Linked DNA regions of Mus musculus: regions 2, 3, 4 and 5 are each reported to be linked to region 1. Evidence: microRNA targets listed by miRTarBase, many of them from high-throughput screens and not tested one by one. Region 1 holds a microRNA gene; each other region holds the end of a gene's coding sequence. Distances are from middle to middle.

Evidence for each region. The annotated mature microRNA mmu-miR-29b-3p reads UAGCACCAUUUGAAAUCAGUGUU and lies in region 1 at 1,494-1,516, opposite strand. An mRNA with a match to its seed (bases 2 to 7 or 8) in the 3' UTR can be bound and repressed. Matches are read on the target gene's strand: a 7mer-m8 pairs with bases 2 to 8, a 7mer-A1 pairs with bases 2 to 7 and ends in A, and an 8mer does both.
Region 2: miRTarBase lists Lactb2 as a target of mmu-miR-29b-3p. Seed matches in the 3' UTR shown: 7mer-m8 at 1,501-1,507.
Region 3: the mRNA of Rsad1 is a reported target of mmu-miR-29b-3p. Seed matches in the 3' UTR shown: 7mer-A1 at 3,615-3,621 and 7mer-m8 at 1,842-1,848.
Region 4: miRTarBase lists Bmf as a target of mmu-miR-29b-3p. Seed matches in the 3' UTR shown: 8mer at 2,220-2,227.
Region 5: the mRNA of Bbc3 is a reported target of mmu-miR-29b-3p. Seed matches in the 3' UTR shown: 7mer-m8 at 668-674 and 7mer-m8 at 753-759.

Annotation. Positions count from the first base shown.
Region 1 is chr1:195,034,321-195,038,606 of GRCm38, reverse strand. Mir29b-2 (microRNA 29b-2) reads right to left here and starts at 1,567; the gene lies at 1,487-1,567. It overlaps A330023F24Rik (RIKEN cDNA A330023F24 gene), which reads right to left. Exons shown (of 8, transcript NR_015566.2): 8 at 699-4,286. It overlaps Mir29c (microRNA 29c), which reads right to left and starts at 1,060; the gene lies at 973-1,060.
Region 2 is chr1:13,623,612-13,627,897 of GRCm38, reverse strand. Lactb2 (lactamase, beta 2) reads left to right here. Exons shown (of 7, transcript NM_145381.2): 6 at 461-542; 7 at 994-2,000. The coding sequence ends at 1,037. Among named protein-coding and RNA genes, the nearest start is that of Lactb2, 35 kb to the left of the region's middle.
Region 3 is chr11:94,538,815-94,543,100 of GRCm38, forward strand. Rsad1 (radical S-adenosyl methionine domain containing 1) reads right to left here. Exons shown (of 9, transcript NM_001013381.2): 8 at 4,067-4,170; 9 at 984-3,833. The coding sequence ends at 3,716. Among named protein-coding and RNA genes, the nearest start is that of Rsad1, 8.2 kb to the right of the region's middle.
Region 4 is chr2:118,529,137-118,533,422 of GRCm38, forward strand. Bmf (BCL2 modifying factor) reads right to left here. Exons shown (of 5, transcript NM_138313.4): 5 at 1-3,523. The coding sequence ends at 3,422. Among named protein-coding and RNA genes, the nearest start is that of Bmf, 18 kb to the right of the region's middle.
Region 5 is chr7:16,316,883-16,321,168 of GRCm38, forward strand. It overlaps Bbc3 (BCL2 binding component 3), which reads left to right. Exons shown (of 4, transcript NM_133234.2): 4 at 236-1,452. The coding sequence ends at 352. It also overlaps a transcript of Sae1 not described here. Among named protein-coding and RNA genes, the nearest start is that of Bbc3, 9.4 kb to the left of the region's middle.

The DNA of each region.
Region 1 (4,286 bases):
CAGCAAATTCTCCAACAGCCTCCCACTTCCAGCAAAATGGGCAAGGCAGCCATCTGGGGTAAGGCAACTGGGATGAAGGCTTAGAAGAAGCTTCCTGAGCAGCTGATTTGCCATTAGTTATTAAAACCTACTGGCTTGAAATAATTGTACTGCAGGTAGTTCATAGTTAGCTATGCAACTCCTATGGAAGGGGCCACCTGCTTTCTTCCTGAAAGTTCCCCAATCATGAACCCTGCCCCTCCACCACCCCCAATGCTGGCAAATCTCTGAACAGTTTTATAGAACTTTTTCACCGCCTACTGAAGGGTTGAAATAAACTATCAGTGGAAAGTAGAACTCCCTCTGCTACAAATACAACTGAAATTAGCCTGCTCCCCTTTAAGGGCCACATGACAGTGCAGTTAAGTAAGTTCCCTGCAGCAACTGACAGGAGGAGGGTCAGAGTCCACAGTTCCCTTGGAACCAAGAATAGTCTTCCCATTTAGTAACATCCCTCAGCCTAGAGCTCCAACCTTCTGTCTCTGCTAATCTTTCATCTTTAGAATTTCATTCCTGTCTTAATGACCTTCATTTTTAATGTCTGCATGCAGCAACCTACTTCCAATTCCTTATGATTGGCACAGCAAATTAACTTTCCAGGGACCACTTCTCATTGCCATAGAATTATGAATGAAAAATAGTAGATAAAACAGACATGATAGATTGAATGTAGCAAATTATTTATTAAAGCCAACGTTTAACAGTACTTAGTTTATAACAGTACTACATGTCAGAAATTGTAACTGAGAATATTTTACAACAATAAATTATAACAATTAAAACCCCCCACTAAGTGATCTCTAACCTTGGCAGCCACATACATACGAATTAAAGAAGTTAGGAAACTGTGATCTTCCTTTTCCACTCTGCCCACGTAGGAAGTGATAGGCTGATGCTGATGCTGACACCACAAGGTTCTGAGGCTGGTGCTCTTCCCCCTACATCATAACCGATTTCAAATGGTGCTAGACAAAAACAGACTCTGAACACCAGGAGAAATCGGTCAGCCTGTGTAAGAGATGGACCGACTGGTGGTGTTCTTCAGGTCTGAATCTCAAGGCAGGTGACAGTCTGATTTCAGCTGTGCTGCAACCAGGACTGAATGAGTGCTCCATGGATCTTCCAGGTTCAGACGAGCCATACTGATGTGAATGAAGCAGTCCTCCACATACAGAGCTCTTACCCCTTCCTTGCTACAATTAATGAACAGTGCAGGCCCAAGGAACCCTCTTCCACCCATGGAATGCTGAATAAAGTAGACCACTTCCTGATTATACCCTTATACATTCTGAACACAAAAACTTTCTCACTATCACTGCCTCTAAACCAAACAGACTCAAGAGCAAATGTCACTATTCAAGTCTTCCCTTGATTTCTCGAAGGAGAGAGCCAGTTCTGTGTACAGCTGTTCCTCTGTAGTCTACCCTCTGCTGTGCTGCAATTCTTACTCCTAAAACACTGATTTCAAATGGTGCTAGATACAAAGATGGAAAAATCTAAGCCACCATGTGAAACCAGCTTCCAGAAGAAGAGGATCTCACTGAAGAAAGCAGAGATGTGCAGTCAGAAGAACCAGCCTCAGCCCTGAGAATCATTTTGCCTGTCAGACGCAGATGACAGCCATACAGCCAACACTTTGAGCAGACAAAAACAATGCAAAGCTTGTTTCCTGTGTGACTTCACATTAGTCATTAGAAATCATCATACACAATGAAATAAAAGAACCAAATCCATTCAACATATGTACATTTGTAATGTCTTGAATTTATGTAATTTCCCAAGATGCATAGTGTCGGTAGATATGTCACTTGTTCAAGACAATGACAATGACCTATGAGATGTTAACAACTGAACCCAAGTAAGTCACCTGTGCCAGGACAACTCTTCCACAAGTATTATTCAAAAAGAGTATGTTCCTTCCTGCTCTCTATCCCATGACCCTGTAGGCTAGCAATTTGATTTAACCCCTAATGTCTTTTTAAAAGCTGGTATCTTAACACTGTATTATACAGATAACCCTCTAACACAAAACAAGGTATGTTTTAAAAATGTACCTAAAAATAAGATTCACAAGCTATGTTTCACATTGTACTGCATTTTTGCTGTATATTTCCTCTGATGTCACAACTGTCATCTTTGAAAGGAGACAAAGAGTAGAGCTGTATTTTTCAGGTTCCCCAGAAAAACTTTTTGGCTTCCAGATACAAGCATATTTTTTTATGGCTCCTGGCTGTTTTGGGGTAATAGAGCAAATATAATGTGAGTATCCCCAGAGTCACAATATTCAATTGTTCCAAGATTCCAGTGAAGTAGGTTATTATTCCGATGTCTGCACAAGAAACTGTAGTCACAGGATACGATGAGCTAATGTCTATATTCCTTTCCCTCTGCCCACTGTTGCTGCTTGATCCACAGCTTGACTGTGACCTCTTTTCTCTTGAACTGAACTCAGAGCTAGACTGGGGAGGGGGATTTAGCTCAGACAATCTGGATGGGAGACTCACTGTAAACATGCTATCCCTGGGTGAAGATGAGAACACATCGTTGGTACTGCAAGAGGTCAAGTAGTCTAGGAGGACCTGCTTTTGTTCTTTTGCCTCATTGGTGCCCCTTTATTCTTTCCAGCAATAGAGAAGATGATAGCAATGAAGCCTAGCAATGCTGACACTGACTTCTCAGAAACTGGGCCAGCCAGAGGAGAAACAGAAGGCCCAGCAGCCTCCCTGGGGCTTTCCAGGGCCTTAGCTGCAGATGAGTGCTGGAAGATCTATACACTGGGTTTCTGAGTGACACTGACATTGGTTGGCAAAATTAGAGCCTGAGGGTTAGGAACTCTAACCCATGATAGGGAGGGCTTTAGGTCATAAATAGATTAGATGGCAGTTATTAACAAGGGTCAAAATCCTGTAAATGAAGGGGAAGGTGAGATTTGCATATGATAATATTCAACTCTTCTGATTTCCATTTCAGCCTAATTTTCTTAGCAACTTCCTCTACCATCCCCCAATCCCCTCCCTCTATGCTAAGGAGAGAGATCCTGCAGGGATCCAGGGCACACCTTTCCTCCCAGAAGGTTCTGCTTGTGCTGGCATCTCCTTTTATCAATCCTCCACCTCCTCTGTCAGCCATCTCAGCTCTAGAAAGCTTTCCCTCAGGCTATTCCAGTTTGCTATCATTTAGAAAACACCTGTTTCTTTTGGTCCTCAGCATGCCATGAAGCTAATTCCTTTCTTCCTATCCAGCAAATAAAGGGCCTGGCAAGGGGAAACTACCAGTGAAGGACTAGGATTACATCCATGGACTGCAAACCCTGTTTTCTGTAAATAAGAATCACTGAAAGATAATTTAAGCAGTGAACTACAGAGGAGGGAAAGTAGTCCTAGCATTTAAACCTTATGTTCATCCAATCCCACTCAGTCTTCAGCATCCTATAAAAGCAGGATTTCTGTAGTCAGCTGAGCAGTGTCCCTTTTCTGAAACAAGGTGGTGATCCTTCACTACTTTGGAATAGCTGGATGATTTGATAAACTCCGGAAGACTGTAGCTCTCTGGCACCAGGCCTGAGAGTTACCTGAATGTCTAAGAGGGCAGCCCTTGAAAACCTTAGGGCTGTTAGGGCTCTGCTCTCAGTGAGAATAATGGGATCTCCCTTCTCAACTGAGTGGCTTCAAGTAAACTTTATGCTACTGGGCTTAATAGAGTTGTCTAGAAAAGAAACCCTGCCTCACTTTTCAGTTCTGAACAGGCCACAGAGCAGGTAAGAAGTCTGAGACGCCACTCTTCAGCCTCCATCTGTTCCTATACTTATTTCTCTCTGGAAGCCATTCTACCCTCCCATGACAGGTCACTCCTTTGGTAAGGCAGGGGCAGACAGGGAGAGGCAATGTCACTCCTTGGTAAATTAGAACACCTGCTTGTCTATATGCTGAGAACAGGGCCCTGCCATAGTCTTGAATGGCTTCAGTGTCTTCATCTGTAAAGACAAGCTAGGGAAAACTGGTCAGAACACACGTATACACACAGCCAGAGACAACAACAGCATGCAAGAGAGGTACAGTAATCTTGAAAAGTCATATTCTGTCTAGATATAAAATTAACACATAGAAAACCCAACCCATGAAAGCCAAACAGTACAAATAAAGGTTGAACACTTTTCATGGGCCACTGGTTAAAAGCAAAGAAGAAAAAGACTACGTATACTTTAGTCTATGGCTGATGCAATGGTTTTTAGAGTCCTAAATACCCTG
Region 2 (4,286 bases), 180 Mb from region 1:
GTATGCTAAACACTAGGAATTCGATAGTGAACAAAATTTGTGGCATTTAATTATTTTATCTATATAAATATAAGAGACTAGTATTCTAAAACAAGACCATTTGCAAGGTAGAAATTGTTGAAGTTGGTCTTATCTGAGCAGGCTCTCATTGTGACAGGCTGGTTTCTAACTCGCAGTGGCCAAGGATGAGCTTGACCGTCTGCACATCCTGCCTGCGCCTCCTGAGCCTGAGATTGCCTGTGTGCTGCTCGCCCACTTCATGTGTGCTGCTCGCCCACTTCATGTGTGCTGCTCGCCCACTCCATGTGTGCTGCTCGCCCACTCCATGTGTGCTGCTCACCCACTTCATGTGTGCTGGAGGGGAACTTGGGTGTTGTGTGTGGTAGGAAAGCTGGAAAAGGCTCTAAACAATTAAGTATTCTTTAAAAATGGGACTCCTTTTATCCTGTTTTTCTTTCAGGATGTTCCAGAGAATTTACATAAGATGGCAGAGCATAATCTCTTGCTTCATTTGAGAAAACTAGAGAAAGATGGGAAGATATGTATGTATCCTTCTGAATATTAATGCCTTTTCTCCTGGCACTTAAACAGTTTTGCAGGAGCTCACCTGAAGTCTCCCTAAGTCTCCCATTCAGTGAAGTAGGTCCAAGTCCTCTGCCATAGAGACACACAGTGCCTGGGGGGACCAAGGGTACTGGCATGTGGAGAACAGGCACAGCTTTTAAGTGAAGTCAGAGATGGTAAAGTGGGAGTTCTGTAACTTTTTCCTGCTGATAGATGAGCTTGTCAAATCAGGCATTGTTATAAAAGTCTAGTCCTTAAAATCAAGAAGTGAGCCCAAGGTTGAATTTTGTGTAGAAGCCTCAGCCATATTGCTTACCTAGTCATCAACAAGATTCGCCTAAGGAAGGTGCACTTTTCCTTACTATAAAAAAATGTGGAATCCAGTGATGTACTTATCTCTTGTTTTTACTTTCTGTTTTTTTTTTCTAGTCTACACAACAACTCCTGTCAAGAAATGGAAAGCCGTCCTTTAGTTACAGATCAGTGAAGTTCTGTCTTGTTTTGCTTTTAGAAGATGGTATTTTCTTTTAGCTATAGATTATATATTTATAGAAAATATTAAATGCACAACTTTGAAAATAACCCTTGATACTTGTAATCCGTGATAATTGTAAAATATGTAAATTACATTTTATATCTGGAGGACAGGTTACTGATCTAACCTTGGTCTTGGAAGGTTTTACCAGAAATTCAGAATCTAGCACTTTTTCAATTTTCTATGGATTAAGTAAAGTGGTTATTAAGAATAATAGATTTTGAACAATTCAAACCAGTTAATACTTTAGAGTTTGATTGTTAGGGTTTCTATTGCTGTAAAAAACAAAAATGACTAAGGCAGCTCTTATAAAGGAAGACATTTAATTAGGGCTGGCTTACAGTTCAGAGATTCAGTCCAGTATCATCATGGTGGGAAGTATGGCAGCCTGCAGACAGACATGGTGCTGGAAAAGGAGCTGAGAGTTCTACATCTTGATCTGAAGGCAGCCAGAACAAGACTGTCTTCTGCAGGCAGCCTGGAGGAGGCTCTCCCAAGCCCACAGCGACACACTTCCTCCAACAAGGCCATACCTCCTAATAGTGCCACTCCCTATGGGCCAAGCATTCAAACACATGAGTCTATGGGGGCCGTTTCTATTCAAACCACCACAGTTATTTGTTAGCATTTGCCAGTAATACTGCTTTCTTTAGCTACTTCAATCAACAGCACACATATCTGCATACGCATTCCTTTTCTTCAGCCCTGTCAATGCCTTTTACATACCAAGTTTATTTCACTTTTCTATCAATTATATCATTTAAGTATTGTTTCTACAGTTCTATGCTATGTTTATTTTCTTGTAACGGTATCCCATAAGCAATTCATAAGTTGATCATTAACAAATACTAAATATACTAATTTAAAATATTATGTGATTAATAATAAGTAATTCTTAAAATTTTATTTTATGTGTATGAATATTTTGCCTACATGAGTATCTGTGCACTCCATGTGTGCAGTGTGCACAGAGGCCAGAAGGGGCACTGGATTCCCTGGAACTGCAGTTACAGGTGTTAGTCACCATGTGTGTCCACAGAATCAAACTGGGTCCTCTAGAAGAACAGCCATTGCTCAGAACTGCTGAGCCATCTCATCTCTCCAGCCCACGACAGCATGCTTTGCAATTTTAGATTTTAGTATAGAAATGGCCATCCGTTTATATATGAATTATATACTAGAAAGTGTTTTCTTTTAATTAGAAGATGGCAAGATAGTCTTTTAAATATATAAATAACATTCTCAAATAATGGTTAGAATAGTGGTACTGCATAGTAATTTCCTCCAAATTAAAACATTCCGTCCTGGAGGGAGACTCCTAAGACTCGGGAAGTAAATGAAACTTAATGGGGCTCAGGAAATAAATAACTCACAAGTCTTAAAAAGTTTCTGAAACTTAAATAATTCAGCAGGTCCCTCCCCAAGGTTATCTCGGCAATACTGATTGCTGGAGAGAAGAGACTTTAGCCTCCTGAGCTGTCTACAGGTAATAGAGGAGAGCTCCAGGAAGATGCCTTTCCTGAGGCAACACCTCCCCACCCCACCCCACCCGCTGAAGTGGGCTTTTCAGTGATGCATTTTTATGCAAGCTAAACACATTTTTTTCTTGTTCCATGTAAATATGTCATATACCCAGAAGTGTTCCATACTACAAAATAACTAAAAACTCAAGAATTAAAAGCCAGTGACCCAGATAACTCACAAATGGACAACAAATGTTTCTCCAAAGAAGATGCCTAAGAGAAAAACTGTTTCTCGGGCTAGAGAGATGGCTCCGCGGTTGAGAGCAATGACTGCTCTTCCAGAGGTCCTGAGTTCAATTTCCAGCAACCACATGGTGGCTCACAACCATCTGTAATGGGATCTGATGCCCTCTTCTGGTGTGTCTGAAGAGAGCAACAATGGATTCACATACATAAATTAAATAAATAATCTTTAAAAACAAAAAAAAAAACTGTTTCTCATCTTTAACCAATACAAAGCCAAACACAAATTGGAACAGGTTCCAGCTTCCTGCCCATTTGGATAACTGTTTTGTTGTTTTGTTTTGTTTTTTTTTTGTTTTTTCTGAAAATAAAAAGAGCAGCCACTGAGGTACAAAGAAACTGGGACCTTTACAATCAGTTGATAGAGCAGCTTCTGAAAGATAAAACAAACTCACAGTATGTCTGAGCAGTTCAGCTTCTGAGAACCATTCCCAAAGCCTGACTTAAGCAGGTATCTACAGGGCTGAAAGAAAAACACCTTAAAAACAGAGATGCCTGACAGATGTTGCATGGTGCATGAATTCCAAAGACACAGTGCTACATGAGATAAGACACCAAAGGCAAACATCAGGATTCCACTTACATGAAGCAGGAAAGTGTATAGAAGGAAAGAATTGTGAATGATTTGGAGGAAAAGGGACAGACTTACTCAAGTTTCAGTAAGAGTGTAAAAAGTTCTGGGCATGAATGGTGACACTGACCACAAAAACACTGTAAACCTGAAAGCATAGTCAGTGCCAAGTGGTGTCCCTAAAGTGATCAGTAATAACTGCCTTCCACAGTGCCACCACCAAAAACTAAAAAATGGTGACACATCAATAAAATTTATAGAATTTAGTTTCATTGGTAAATGAATAGATTAGCTTACCTCTTAGCTGCTCTTTCCCAGAGGGTTGAATACAAACACCATTCAGTTGATCAAATTAGAAAATTTTAAAGAAAAAATCCTTCTTGGTTTGTGTGCATCCCACATGTCCAAGTGGTCCCTATTCTACCTCCAGAGTTCATTACCCCTAGCCAGTCTTAGTCCTAGCCATCATCATCCCTTCTGAACCAGTGAAATGCCTGTTACCTCTTGTTGGGGAAGAAGATGAAAAGGACATTTTGAGCTAAAAATCTGTGAAAAGCCAGGTGGTGGCAGCACACGCCTTTAATCCCAGCACTCAGAGGCTGAGGCAGGCGGATCTCTTGAGTTAGAGGCCTGGTCAACAGAGCAAATTTCAGGACTTGAAACTTGAAAAAAAAAATTTTTTTTAATAAAAAGCCATGCAGTCGTCACATTGCCACAGCATACTTCAGATAGTGCACATTGCAAGTAGATCTTCTCAAAGGGGAAGGATGGGGAACTACTAAATCTATTAGTCATTTTAAAAGCCTAGCAACAGAGCTATAAAAGCTGTGACATCTATTAAATGCTTTTT
Region 3 (4,286 bases), not on the chromosome of region 1:
TTAGATTCCTGGGCCCCACCTCCAGGACGTTCTGATTCATCTGGAAAGGGTGGGACCAGGCTGAGTCAAGGAAGGTGACAGGGGCCACCCAGATCTGGCCCTGGCTCCCATCCAGCCCCTACACAGGCTCCCTGAGGTGCCTGAGCAGGGAAGGCCCAGACATCTCAGGTGGCACAAGCCCTGGCAGTTAGGAGAAACCTGAGTGGCCGAGGTTTATCTGATGGAGCCCCTCCCCTAGCCCTGTGCTAGCTTCTCGAATATCAAGATCAGGGGAAGGCTGGGGCAGGGATACCCTTGAGCGGCCCCAGCCACCCACCAGCTGCTCTAAGCCTAGACTCACCAGGGCTCTAGGGGTACAAGATTTGATAAGACAAACACCTTTCGCCTTCTTTCTTCCTCTCAGCCCCTCAAAACCCAGTGCCCTCCAGGCTCCCATAGCTGTCTGAAACACCTTAACCAGCAACGCTTTATCTCTGAACATCTGTCACCGCAGCATCAAGCTCCCTGAGAGCACAGACAGGTCTTATTCCTCTGTTCATGCCCAGTACGGTGCCTGGCAGACCACTGGTGCTAGGTGAGTAGTTCATGAATAAAGTAACAGTTACCACGTTACCACAGGGTCAAAGAAGGACTGGCATTCACACCCACCGGCACATGGGAAATACACGTGCTTACTCCTAAGCAGTGTGGGGGATCCCCTGGCCTTTCATCATCCACTAGAAGTCAGCATGCTTCCACCTGCAGGGTTACTAAATCACTTCTGGCACCGTGGTACCCTTTGCCACGATAAGGAATTAGTTAAGGAGCTTTAGGCTGAGAACGTAGCTCAGTGACAGGTCCTGAGTTCCAGCCCTAGCACAATGAAACAAACCACACACACACACACACACACACACACACACACACGCATGCATGGCATGGCATACAATTTCCAAGTCAAGAATGAAAGGTTGGAAGTGCCTCAAGGAGGAGCTACGCAGGTCTGTCTTTTGGGGTAAGAGATTTATTAAGAGAATTATCAGTACCACAGACACACAGGCACAGCGGCACAGTGTACAGTAGCGGGAACATTCAAGCCCCAGTGTCATAGACACACAGACAACATGGTAGGGTTCTGAAGAGGATCCAAGTTCCCCAGGGTAGAGTGGGGGGCCCCTTCCTATAGATCTCAGTAGAAGGGGGAGGTTTCACATCACCAGACTGTCTCTGATTCCCCTGCAGGCGGCAGGGGAGAAGAAAAAAGGTCTTGCGTTATCAGGAAGAAATATGTCCCTCTGAAGAGCAAGGACACATCTAGTTGAGACATACCCATTATGGCAGCGCCCCCCCCCCCCCCCCCGTCCAGGGAGTCTGACAACCTAAGGTCTATTCGATGGGATGAGCCTGTTACAGGGTTAGGAATTTACAGGTTTGAGATTCCTACCATAGAAGGAGGTTGTCTGGCTTGAACAAGGCCATAGGTCTGATTCTTAACATTGTAACAATAACAGAGGAAAGTTCTTTTTTATGGGGAAAATGGAAAATAATTAATTTGGAAGGAATAATAGAATCAGAAACCAATACTTTGCAATCCTCAATTTAAGAAATGATTTGGCTAGGCTGGAGAGATGGCTCAGCAGATAAGAGCACAGGGTGCTCTTCCATAGGTCCTGAGTTCAATTCCCAGCAACCACATGGTTGCTCACAACCATTTATATATAATCTGATGTCCTCTTCTGTCATGCAGGCATATATACAAATAGAGCACTCATATACATAAAATACCTAAGTTTGAGGCTGGAGAGATGGCTCAGTGGTTAAGAGCACTGTCTGCTCTTCCAGAGGTCCTGAGTTCAATTCCCAGCACCAATGTAATGGCCCATAACCATCTATAGTGTGATCTGAGGTCCTCTTCTGGCATACAGGTGTACATGCAGATAGAGCAATTGTAGACATAAGTAAATGTTTAAAAATACAAATGTAAATTTTAAAAGTAATTTGGGAAAGAATCACTAGTAGGTGCTAAAGTCACTGGTCAAATGATTATCAGGCGATGGGACATTTGGTCTCATGGTCTCAAGCCAAGATAATGAACTCCTTAATTTCAAAGGAAAGATGCAGCTGTGCACTATTACCCTCGGGGCTGGAGAGATGGCTCAACAGTTAAGGGCACTTATTTGATCTGGCAGAGGACCCACATTCAATAACCAGCACCCACATTGTGGCTCACAACCATCCGCAAGCCCAGTTCCAGGGGATCCAACAGGCACACGCATGGTGTGCACATTCAAAGGCATGCACACAAAATACTTAAATAGTAAGAAAGATAAATCTAAATTAAAAAAATAATAATACTGAACCTGATAGGGTTGGGGATTTAGATAGTGGTGTTTGCCTCAGCGCATGAAGTCCAGAACCACAGAAAAATGGGTGTGGTGGTGCATGCCCGTGATCTCAGCACTCGGGAGGCAGAAGCAGGGGGTCCGATGCTAAACACTGTCCTCAGCCACACAGTGAGTTTGCAGTGTCGGGTACATATGGCACTGTCTCAGGGGGAAAAAAAACCCCACAATCTTTTACATTCAAAATAGAAGCTGGAGAAATAGCTTAGCAGGAGAGAGTGCTCCCTGCTCTTCCAGAGGACCAGAGTGTGGTGCTCAGAAAAGATGGCTCACATTCATTCCTCTGTAACTCTGTCTCCAGAAGATACAACACTCTACTCTGGCCTCCATGGCTGCACGCACACACGCGCGCGCGCGCGCGCGCGCGCGCACACACACACACACACACACTTTAATAAAATGTGGGCAGTATTGGTGCAAGCCTTTAATCCCTACATTCGGAAGGCAAAGAAAGGCAAGCAGATCTCTGAGTTCTAGACAAGCCTGGTCTACAGTGTGAGCTCCAGGACCAAGGCCACACAGAGAGACCCCATCTTGAAAATCCAAATAAATAATAAAAATGAAAATAATGTTTAAAACTTTGAACCTGAATTCAACCCTTAGGAAATAATGAGACATACATAGAGTATAGGTTACATTTCTGTACAACAAGTGGCCTTGGATAAAAATATTTTTTTTAGATTTATTTCTTTTTATTTTATGCATATGAGTGTTTTGCCTAGATGAATATCTATGCACCACACAGGTGTCTGGTACACGAAGAGGTGAAAAGAAGGTGCCGGATCCCCTGGAATGAGAGTTACTGATGGTTGTGAGCTGCCACATGGCTGCTGGGACTTGAACCCTGGTTCTCTAGAAGAGCAAACCACCAAGCCATCTCTCCAGCCCTTCAAATGGTTTTGTAAACATCTTGTTCCTATATTTCTTCTGTGTAAGGTACCTGGAGGGGATTTAGTTCTACTGAACCATACAAGCTAGGGCTTCTCTCTAGAATGAGGCTTCTCTGATAGATACAATTCCCTGTAGAAAGATTTTGTGTTATTTGGTGTCCAAAAAAGTCAACAAAAGCCAGTGGCGGGGGGTGGGAGTGGGGTGGTGAGGACATCCTAGGCAGGGAACACTTGCTGACCTGTGACTCCTGGGATGCTGTGAGGGATACCAGTCCCCAGAACAGAGGCAGCCGTCCATCCAACTGACCACATCCATTCCCATGGGGGTGTCAGAGCCAAGCAATAGCACCTCAGAGCAGAGATGGCACCTACCGGCAGATGCCCACCATCTGGCCCAGCCCTCTAAGTCCAACTGGTGCTTCCTCATGATACAAGGATGTCTGGTCATCCTCCTGACACGGGTGAGGAAGGCCTGTGCTGCCAGGCCTCTTGGAGTTGAGGTAGGAGGGTCAATAACAGGGAGTCCAGCACAGCTAGGCCCTCCCAGGAACACCGGAGACCCCTGGAAAACCGAGAGGTCTGGATATGACTCTAACTTTACCATAAAGGCCCATTCCTGCCCACCCCTGGCAGCCCATGCCCTCCTCTATTGGTCTTTCTTGTTTCTACCACTCTGAAAAGGAGGGGAACATTTAGTTGTGACACACTCATTATGGCAGTCCTCCCACGCCCCAATCTGTAGTCAAGAGCTCCCAGGGTCTGTGAAGCCCCCTCCGCACAATATTCCCAACATACCTGTAATCCAGCAGCAGCAGACCCTGAGCTAGCAGCTCCTCCACCTCCTTGCTTGCTCCAAACACGTCCCACAGGGTCAGCTGGGGCTCAAACTGCTGCCAGTGCTAGGAATCAGAAGTCAGTGCAATGAGCTGGCCGACACACACACACACACACACACACACACACATACACACACACACACACACACTTGGATTTAATGTGAATAATAGCTCAGTGG
Region 4 (4,286 bases), not on the chromosome of region 1:
GCAGCCCACAGGAACCCCAGGGAACTTGAAATGACTGTGGCTCCACCCTGTATCCCTCTAGGTCCAACCAGGGTATCAGGCCAGGATAGCCTGTCTCCAAAAGGCCTTATCTTCATAGCAGCCACAGTGGCCACTGTACTGATTCCCCCAAATCCTGCAGAGCCACGAAGGCTGATGTCTTGTTACTCCATACACTGGTACCCGCCCCCTCCCCAGTAAGTCCCAGAGCGGGAAAGCTCAGAATATTCTCCTCGCTGACCAGGCAGGACTGTCACAGTGACCTCACTGCTTAGTTCCTGGAAAGCTTGGGACAGACAGGGGCCTTGGCTAGACTGTCCCCAACACCCACTCCCTGCCATGCTCAGTGTTGGGCTTGCGTTTCGCCACTGGGGCAGCAAGGCAGGCCAGCGGGGCCTCTCTGGGCTCTGGAAACAAGCTCTGCCACATAGCTCTGGACACAGCCCATCCCCTGGGGCCTGAAGGAGGTCACCGGGAGGTGATCTTTTTCCACCTCTGATTGAGCAAGACAAGGCCACTGGGGACAACTGAACAGCACAGCCAAACTTTGAAACAGAGAGACAGGGCCAGGCAAAGTGCCCACCCTCCCCCCACTCTCCTGCGTACCACCCCAGTCTCCCTGGGGGAGTCAGTGACGGGACTGGGGGATGTTCCTCTCCAGATCTGTTCACTGGCTTTTAGAAATGCCTCCTGGGGATTGTGAATTAGTAGAGCAGTTTGGCCCCTGAATACAGGGCTTCTGTTCCTCTAGGGCATTTCTACAGAGTTTTCCAGCTCTTCTCCCACCCCCCATCCTCAGCACACCACAAAAGCCTGTTGCCTTCAGCTGGTTACAGGTCACCACACAGGTCAGACCCTCCCTCCCTCCCTCAGAATCTGAATCTCCACTCTTCACTAGAGACAGCCAAGCTCCTGGAGTTCTGGAGAGGCAAAGGGGAGGGGTTGTCCAGGGGCTGGACTCAGAGACTATAAAACCAATTCACCAGGCAGAGATCACCGGCCAATTAAAGCAAGCAGCCAGGGGGAACCTCTTGCCTCCTTGAGCTGGGCTGCCAGCTGCCTCCAAGAGGTTGGAGAGAGGGGGCATATTTTTATTTATTTATATTTTACAGTCCTGGGATCCATCCGAGGGTCTCTTGACCGACAGGCAAGCCCTTTATCATTGAGCTTCAACTCCAGCCTGGATTCAGGTTAAAGATAAAAGAGGGTTTAAGTTTCACCCTGGCTTGCCTGAGTTAGTAAGTTTGGTCCCGGCTTGGCCCAAAATGGAGACAGTACATTCTGACCAGCTTCTGCCTGGTCCAGGCTCAATGTTCAGGTCAAACTCTGGGCTCAGTTCTCAGGCCACAGGGTACCCAGCCTGCACCTAGCAAGGTTGCTGAAGCTGACAGTCATGCCTTAGGACAGATGGAAAGTCTACTAAGTTATGTTAAAGATAACTGAAGTACAAGGTTCTGTATGGGGAGGGGCACGCATGTACCATCAAGCACATGTATTGCAGCACATGTACCAAGCACATACCAGAAGCCTGCCTGTCATAGCCTTGATCCAGGAAAGGGGAAGACCACATATGTCCCACACACATCTAAACTGCAGGGAGGGTGGGATGTAGGAAGGCTGGGCTTCACAAATAATCAAGCCCACCCTCAGAACCAGTCTTCATATTCATTACTTGGGTCCCCTCTCCTTGCAAACAGAAACCCACTTTCTTAGCAGACGAACTATGGTATAGACCCTGAGAAAAATGATTGTGGCCAAGAAGAGGTAATATCTCCAGGTCATCTGAGCAGAAAAACACAAAGGCTTATACACATGCCTTAAGGTCCTCCTCAGGACCACTGAGAGTGCACACAGTACCTTTGTGCAAATTAGGAAAGACATTCCTTACTCTGGGCAGACCCTGCCCACATCAGGATGTGCAGCCTAGAGAGCAGGGCACAGGCTGGACCTCAGCCTCTATGAGCCCCCTCTGTCGGTAGCCTTGGCAGGGAGAAACCTGCCCAACTGGACACCCAGGAGATCCGGTGCCCTTTTATGGTACTGAAATCCGCCCCCCCCCCCCACTTCTGCAGAATGGGGAGTCACTGGGCTTGTTCAATTTGAGTCTACTCTGAGTTTCTCCTCCAAAGTCCTTGAATAATCCTGTGTTCTTCTTTGTCTAGGGAAGCCATCTTTCTTTGAGCCTTGGCTCATCTTCATTATAGCACCAATGTCTTTCCTTACATACATAACACTTAGGACTTAATTTCTAAGATCAGCTGCTTTTCGTTCCCTCCCTGAGCACTGCAGCGGGGAGAGAAGGAAGGAGCTCCCAGGCAGCTAAGGTCCTGCTGGGTTCTAGAACTCTCCTTTCTGGCCTAGCTGAAAGCTAAAGGGAGATTCAAGATGTGTCAGCTCTGCAGTTTCCATGGTCTAAACATTGTCTGTTACTTCCAAAGTCACTTTTCAGCTGACAAAGCCTCAGTCCTAGCTTCTTCCTGTATCCCGCTAGGTACAGAAAAGGAATGGGGGTAAGGGGGAGGAGGTACACGTTTCCAAGGAAACCAAGAGGTCTAGGATTCCCCCGGGACCAACTTATCAGTGGGATGGCTGCTGGGTTCCCACGCCCCCAGCAAGCCCACCCCATCTCCAAGTGCTTCTGCTGAGATGGATGCAGACAGATCCAGTCCAGTCATTGGCAGGGTCTTCTGAAAACAGAGCTGACAAAGGCACAGGCCGCTGGGTACAACGGCATGGTGACTGGCTACTTGGCTCCAGCAAAGGTGGCAGTAGTTTGCACCCTTGGGGACCAATCAAGGGGCTTCCATGTAGGACCGAGTCAGACTTGAAGCCTCTCAAGTTTGATTCATTTTGTGGCACCTTTGAGGGGTTCTTGGAGAAGTCCGACCCTCCCTGAGGTCTTCCGGAAGTTGACAGCGTCTGAGTAAGAATCCCTGAGCCCATGCGGTGGGCGCTGGCTGTGCCAAGTGGGAACCCAGACGTGAATCGGGCTAGCCAAGGCACAGTTGATCTTAGCCAGGAGGCTCCCAGACAGGGTCCTGGTGGGTTAAAGCCATGATCCATCAGGCACGAAGGAAGGCTGACATGTTTGATGGTACTGGGAGCCTAACCTGACTTAACCAGCTCCGGTAGCAAGTCTCAGTCCACTTCCTGGAGAACATCACCAACTGGTCATCTTCAGAGCCTTAGGAACTCTACCAGCAGACACAGCTGCCTCTCCTTCAACAGTGTTTGACAAAGGCCCCCATCCTCAGTGGAGGTTCTGAACGGGGAAAGAAGATCCCACTGGGGCATGTAATATGTACACATGGATAGAAAGTTACGGATAACAAAACTTAACAAGACAGTATCTGTCCTCCCAGACTGCATTCCTGGTGATCCATCCGGCCAGGGCGGTCCAGCCTCACCAGGGCCCCACCCCTTCCCTGTTTTCTTGTCTGTTCAGGGCGAGGTTTTGAAGGAAAAGGAAGACCTGCCACCACGCACGGTCTCGGTTCTGCTGGTGCTGTAAGGAAAAGAGATGACCGTTAGGTGTCAGGCCACAGGCTCCTTACTGGGTCCCCAACAGGCTCCCACTGCCAGATCTCAGGCTGGCACCTTTGTGCCATCCAGCAAACTGGGGGACAAGAGACGAACCTCCCAAGACAACTGCAGCTTGGGCATTAAATACACCACGCTGGGCTGTGTGTACTGAGCACAGGAGGATCAGACTTTCTCCCTTGCTTACAGGATTTTTCCAGAGTTTAGCCAAGTACTGCTTTTAATCAGATTGGCTCCTGACACCCACCCCCCCCTTAACTTTAGCTGCATGAACAACAATCTTGCTTGAGCGAGAAAGACAAGAAGTCCCTCCCTCTCCCCCATTCCAAAGGAACACAGAGAACAAGAGAGGGAAGGGGAGGGGGAGCCTCCATCTGCAAGTGATTTGACACTGTGAAGGTCAAAGGGTTAATCTTCAATTTAAACCACACTGCTGAGGCAGCAAAAATCTGATTTCATCCAGTACAAACACACACACACACACACACACACACACACACACACACACACACACACACACACACACACACAGACTTGTGTGAGGCAGCCAGCCCTCTCCCCACTTCAGCATCCCCAGCTCCGGGCTGCCCTTTTTATAGCTGCTTTTGACAGTAAGCCATAAATAATCCCTCTTGGAGCGCTTTCCTACTGACTGGAGCCAATTAAACGTTAAGCAAGAACACACTTGAAAACAAAACAAAAACAAAGAATGCACACCAGCTCTGGAG
Region 5 (4,286 bases), not on the chromosome of region 1:
CCCCTTAGAGCCCTTGTGATTCGTAGGGTGTGTGTGCTAGGCTCTATGCTATGGGAATTCTGCCCCAGCCCCTTCCCACCTAGGTTGGGAGAGTGTGCCCTGGTGAGTGAGGGGCTGAAAAATGGCTGGTAAGAGGGTTGCGCTCAGTTTTGGGACCGATCTCGAACCCACACCTTTTGCTCACTAACCCACTGTCTGCGGGTCCAAGCTAATTCCTACTTCCTCCTCTCCCCAGAGACAAGAAGAGCAGCATCGACACCGACCCTCACCCTGGAGGGTCATGTACAATCTCTTCATGGGACTCCTCCCCTTACCCAGGGATCCTGGAGCCCCAGAAATGGAGCCCAACTAGGTGCCTACACCCGCCCGGGGGACGTCGGAGACTTGGGGGGCAGGACCCCCTCCGCCTTCTGACACCCTGGCCAGCGCGGGGGACTTTTTCTGCACCATGTAGCATACTGGACTGCCAGCCTTGCCCGTCCCAGGGGCAGGCAAGGGATGCCACTCGAGCCCGGGCAGCCTGGGTGCACTGATGGAGATACGGACTTGGGGGGACCCTGGCCTCCCGAAAGCCAGGGAAGGGAGGGCTGAAGGACTCATGGTGACTGAGGGGGTGGGGACCGAGCCGCCCGCCTCTGCCGCCCACCACCATCTCAGGAAAGGCTGCTGGTGCTGGCTGCCCGTTCCAGCTGCAGGGGGGACGCTGGGGGTGTCCCCAGTGCGCCTTCACTTTGGGCCTGGCCTCAGGCCCCTGGTGCTTCCCCCCCTCCTCCTGAGGAGGGGGTCTGTGAAGAGCATATGAGCCAAACCTGACCACTAGCCTCCTGGAGCCAGAGAATGGGGGGCGTGTGAAGGCCTTCTTAACCCAGTGCCCAGCCATCTTCCCTGAGCCGCCGGCGGGCGGTGAACGATGCCTGCCTCACCTTCATCTGGGGGTGTCCAGGAGGGGTCCAGACTGTGAATCCTGTGCTCTGCCCGGGACCACCCCCCCCCCCCCAATCCCCATCCATCTCATTGCATAGGTTTAGAGAGAGCACGTGTGACCACTGGCATTCATTTGGGGGGTGGGAGATATTGGCGGAAGCCACCCCAGCCTTAGTCCCCAGGGCAAAGCGCTGGGGAGGAAGATGGGGAGTCAGGGAGGGGGGAAGTCTCAGAAGAGGGAGGAGTCTGGGAGCGGGGAGGGACGGCCCAGCCTGTAAGATACTGTACATGCACTGCTGTAGATATACTGGAATGAATTTTCTGTACATGTTTGGTTAATTTTTTTTGTACATGATTTTTGTATGTTTCCTTTTCAATAAAATCAGATTGAACAGTGAACACTCTTTTTGTTAGCTTTACCAGTGACAGAGCATCTGGCACTACCTGTAAGGACATGAAAGAAACGGTGTGTGTGTGTATGTGTGTGTGTGTGTGTGTGTGTGTGTGTGAGAAATGGCTCAGTGGTTAAGAGCACTGACTGCTCTTCCAGAGGTCCTGAGTTCAAATCCCAGCAACCACATGGTGGCTCACAACCATCATAATGAGATCAGACACCCTCTTCTGGAGTGTCTGAAGGCAGCTACAGTGTACTTACATATAACAATAAATAAATGTAAAAAAGAGAAAGAAAGAAAGAAACTGGAACTTTTGGACTCTTAAGGGGCAGTCATACTAAAAGGTAAGCTAGAGGCTGGTCTGGTGGCACAGGCCTGTCGTAGCTAGTTGGAAGGCCTGAGCAACTGAGACCCAGTCTCAGCAATGGGGAGGGGACAGGTGGAGGGGACAGGCGGAGCGCTGGCTCAGCAGGTAGAAGTATGGGCTGTTCTTCAAGAGGATCTGCATTTAGGTCCCAGCACCCATGCTGCAGCTCACACTCTGTAACTCAAGTTCCAGATCTGATACCTCCTGGCCTGCGGGTACCAGGCATGTGCACAGGGCCCATTCCATGCGGACAAGGAAACCCAAAACCCCAAAAACACATATGCACATAAAATAGGTAAATGTGCCAGGGAGGTGGCTCAACTGTGAAGAGCACCAGCCGTTCTTCCAGAGGTCCTGAGTTCAATTCCCAGCTACCACATGGTGGCTCACAACTATGTATAATGTTATCCAATGCCCTCTTCTGGCCTGCAGGCTTTCATATAGATACAAACTTCATATACAATTAATTTAAAAATAAAGCCGGGCGTGGTAACACACACCTTTAATCCCAGCACTTGGGAGGCAGAGGCAGGTGGATCTATGAGTTTGAGGCCAGCCTGGTCTACAGAGTGAGTTCCAGGACAGCCAGGGCTACACAGAGAAACCCTGTCTCAAACAAACAAACAAACAAACAAAAAAACAGTAGAAAGACTGGGAGCATTGCTCAGTGGTAGAGCCCCTGCCTAGTAGGATATGGAGGTGTGGCTCAACTGAGCACAAAGTCCTGGGTTCAGTTACTTATACCAAGAGAAAAAAGGAAGGCGGGATGAAAGAGGCACAGAAGTTGTAGCTACACAGAGCTGGCAGCCACTGCTGTAGTCTTGAGAGCAAGCACACACAGGGACTAATACTTCATGTGTACTTATTTCATCAGGTATGAAGAGTGTAACTAAGCTTAAGATTTACTGTACGAACGAACGAATAGCTTATAGTTTAGAAGCCACTGTTTCAAGAGCTTGAGTTACAGATTGTGAGCTCTGTCCTGAATGACATGGGGTCTAGCCTGGCCCTGTGACCAGCCTCAGGTTGCTCTCTGGCTGGAAAGGGACCTGGAGCTAAGATCAGAACTAGACATTCCTTGCACCATTGTCCTAAGGCCAGGCACATGGCCAGCTCTCGATGCTGAGCACAGCCTCAGAACCCACTTTGCATTATTTTGAGAAAGGAGAGTTTTTCCTACTAACTGACTGAGAATTGGCAGTCCTTGAACCCACTCAAGTGCCAGCTTTGTAATGACTTCAGGGAGAGGCAGATATGTAGTATATCCCTTCCTGGTGGCCAGTGACAGTAAAAAGCAATTTAGGGGAAGTGGATCTTCTAGAGGGCTGTGGGCATAGAGGAGAGGAATCTGATGAAGCCATATCCACTGCCCTCCTGAGCATCTCCACGAGAAGAACATATATGTGTTCAAGAGTCCAAGTGTACTGTGCACACAGCAGTTCTCAAAAGTGCCAAGTCGACGGGCAGTGGTGGCGTACACCTTTGATCCCAGCACTTGGGAGGCAAAGGCAGGCAGATTTCTGAGTTTGAGGCCAGCCTGGTCTACAAAGTGAGTTCCAGGACAGCCAGGGCTATAAGGGAAACCCTGTCTCAAAAAAACAAAAACAAAAACAAAAACAAAACAAAACAAAACAAAACAAAAAAAAAGTGCCAAGTCTGGGGTGTGATGTGGTAGCACACACCTTTAATCCCAGCACTCAGGAGGCAGAGGCAGGCAGATCTCCGAGTATGGCTACAGAGAGAAACTTTGTGGGTGGGGGGAAGTGCCAAGACTAATTAATTGCCACCAGGCATGAGAACCTAACTTCAGCCCCCAGACTCATATTATAGAAGGAGAGAACTATTCTCTACAAGTTGTCCTCTGACCTCCATCCACAGAAGCACTGTGTCTCTAAAACTATTGATTCCTTTAATATTTTTAATATCTTTAATAAGATTTAACTGATTAATTTTCATAAGTATTGTATGGGCCAGATTGCTAACACCTGTCTGAAATTCCAGTACTTGGGGAATGGCGGGGGGGTGGGGGGTGGCGGCGGCAGGAGGATCAGGAGTCCAAGGGCAGTCCAGGGATGGGTGAGACCTTATATTAGGCAATTTCTTGTTGCTGCTACCAAAATATTTGCTAACAAGCAGCGTTGTTGTTGGTGACTGGAGAGACGGCCAGGTGCTTCACAGTACTCCTGGTTTTTGGAGAAGGCTTAGGTTGAGTTCCCAGCACTTGCAGGGCAGCTGATAACATCCGCTCCAGGGGAACTGATGTCTTCTTCTGGCTTTTCTGTGCACTAGACACACATGGTGCCCAGACAAACCTACAGTGGACAAAACATGGAGATACAAAAAATGAATTTTGCCGGGCATGGTGGCACACGCCTTTAATCCCAGCACTCGGGAGGCAGAGGCAGGCAGATTTCTGAGTTCGAGGCCAGCCTGGTCTACAAAGTGAGTTCCAGGACAGCCAGGGCTACACAGAGAAACCCTGTCTCAAAAAAAAAAGAGAGAGAGAGAGAGAAAGAAAGAAAGAGAGAGAGGCAGAGAGAGAGAGAAAGAAAGAAAGAAAAGAAAGGAAGGAAGGAAGGAAGGAAGGAAGGAAGGAAGGA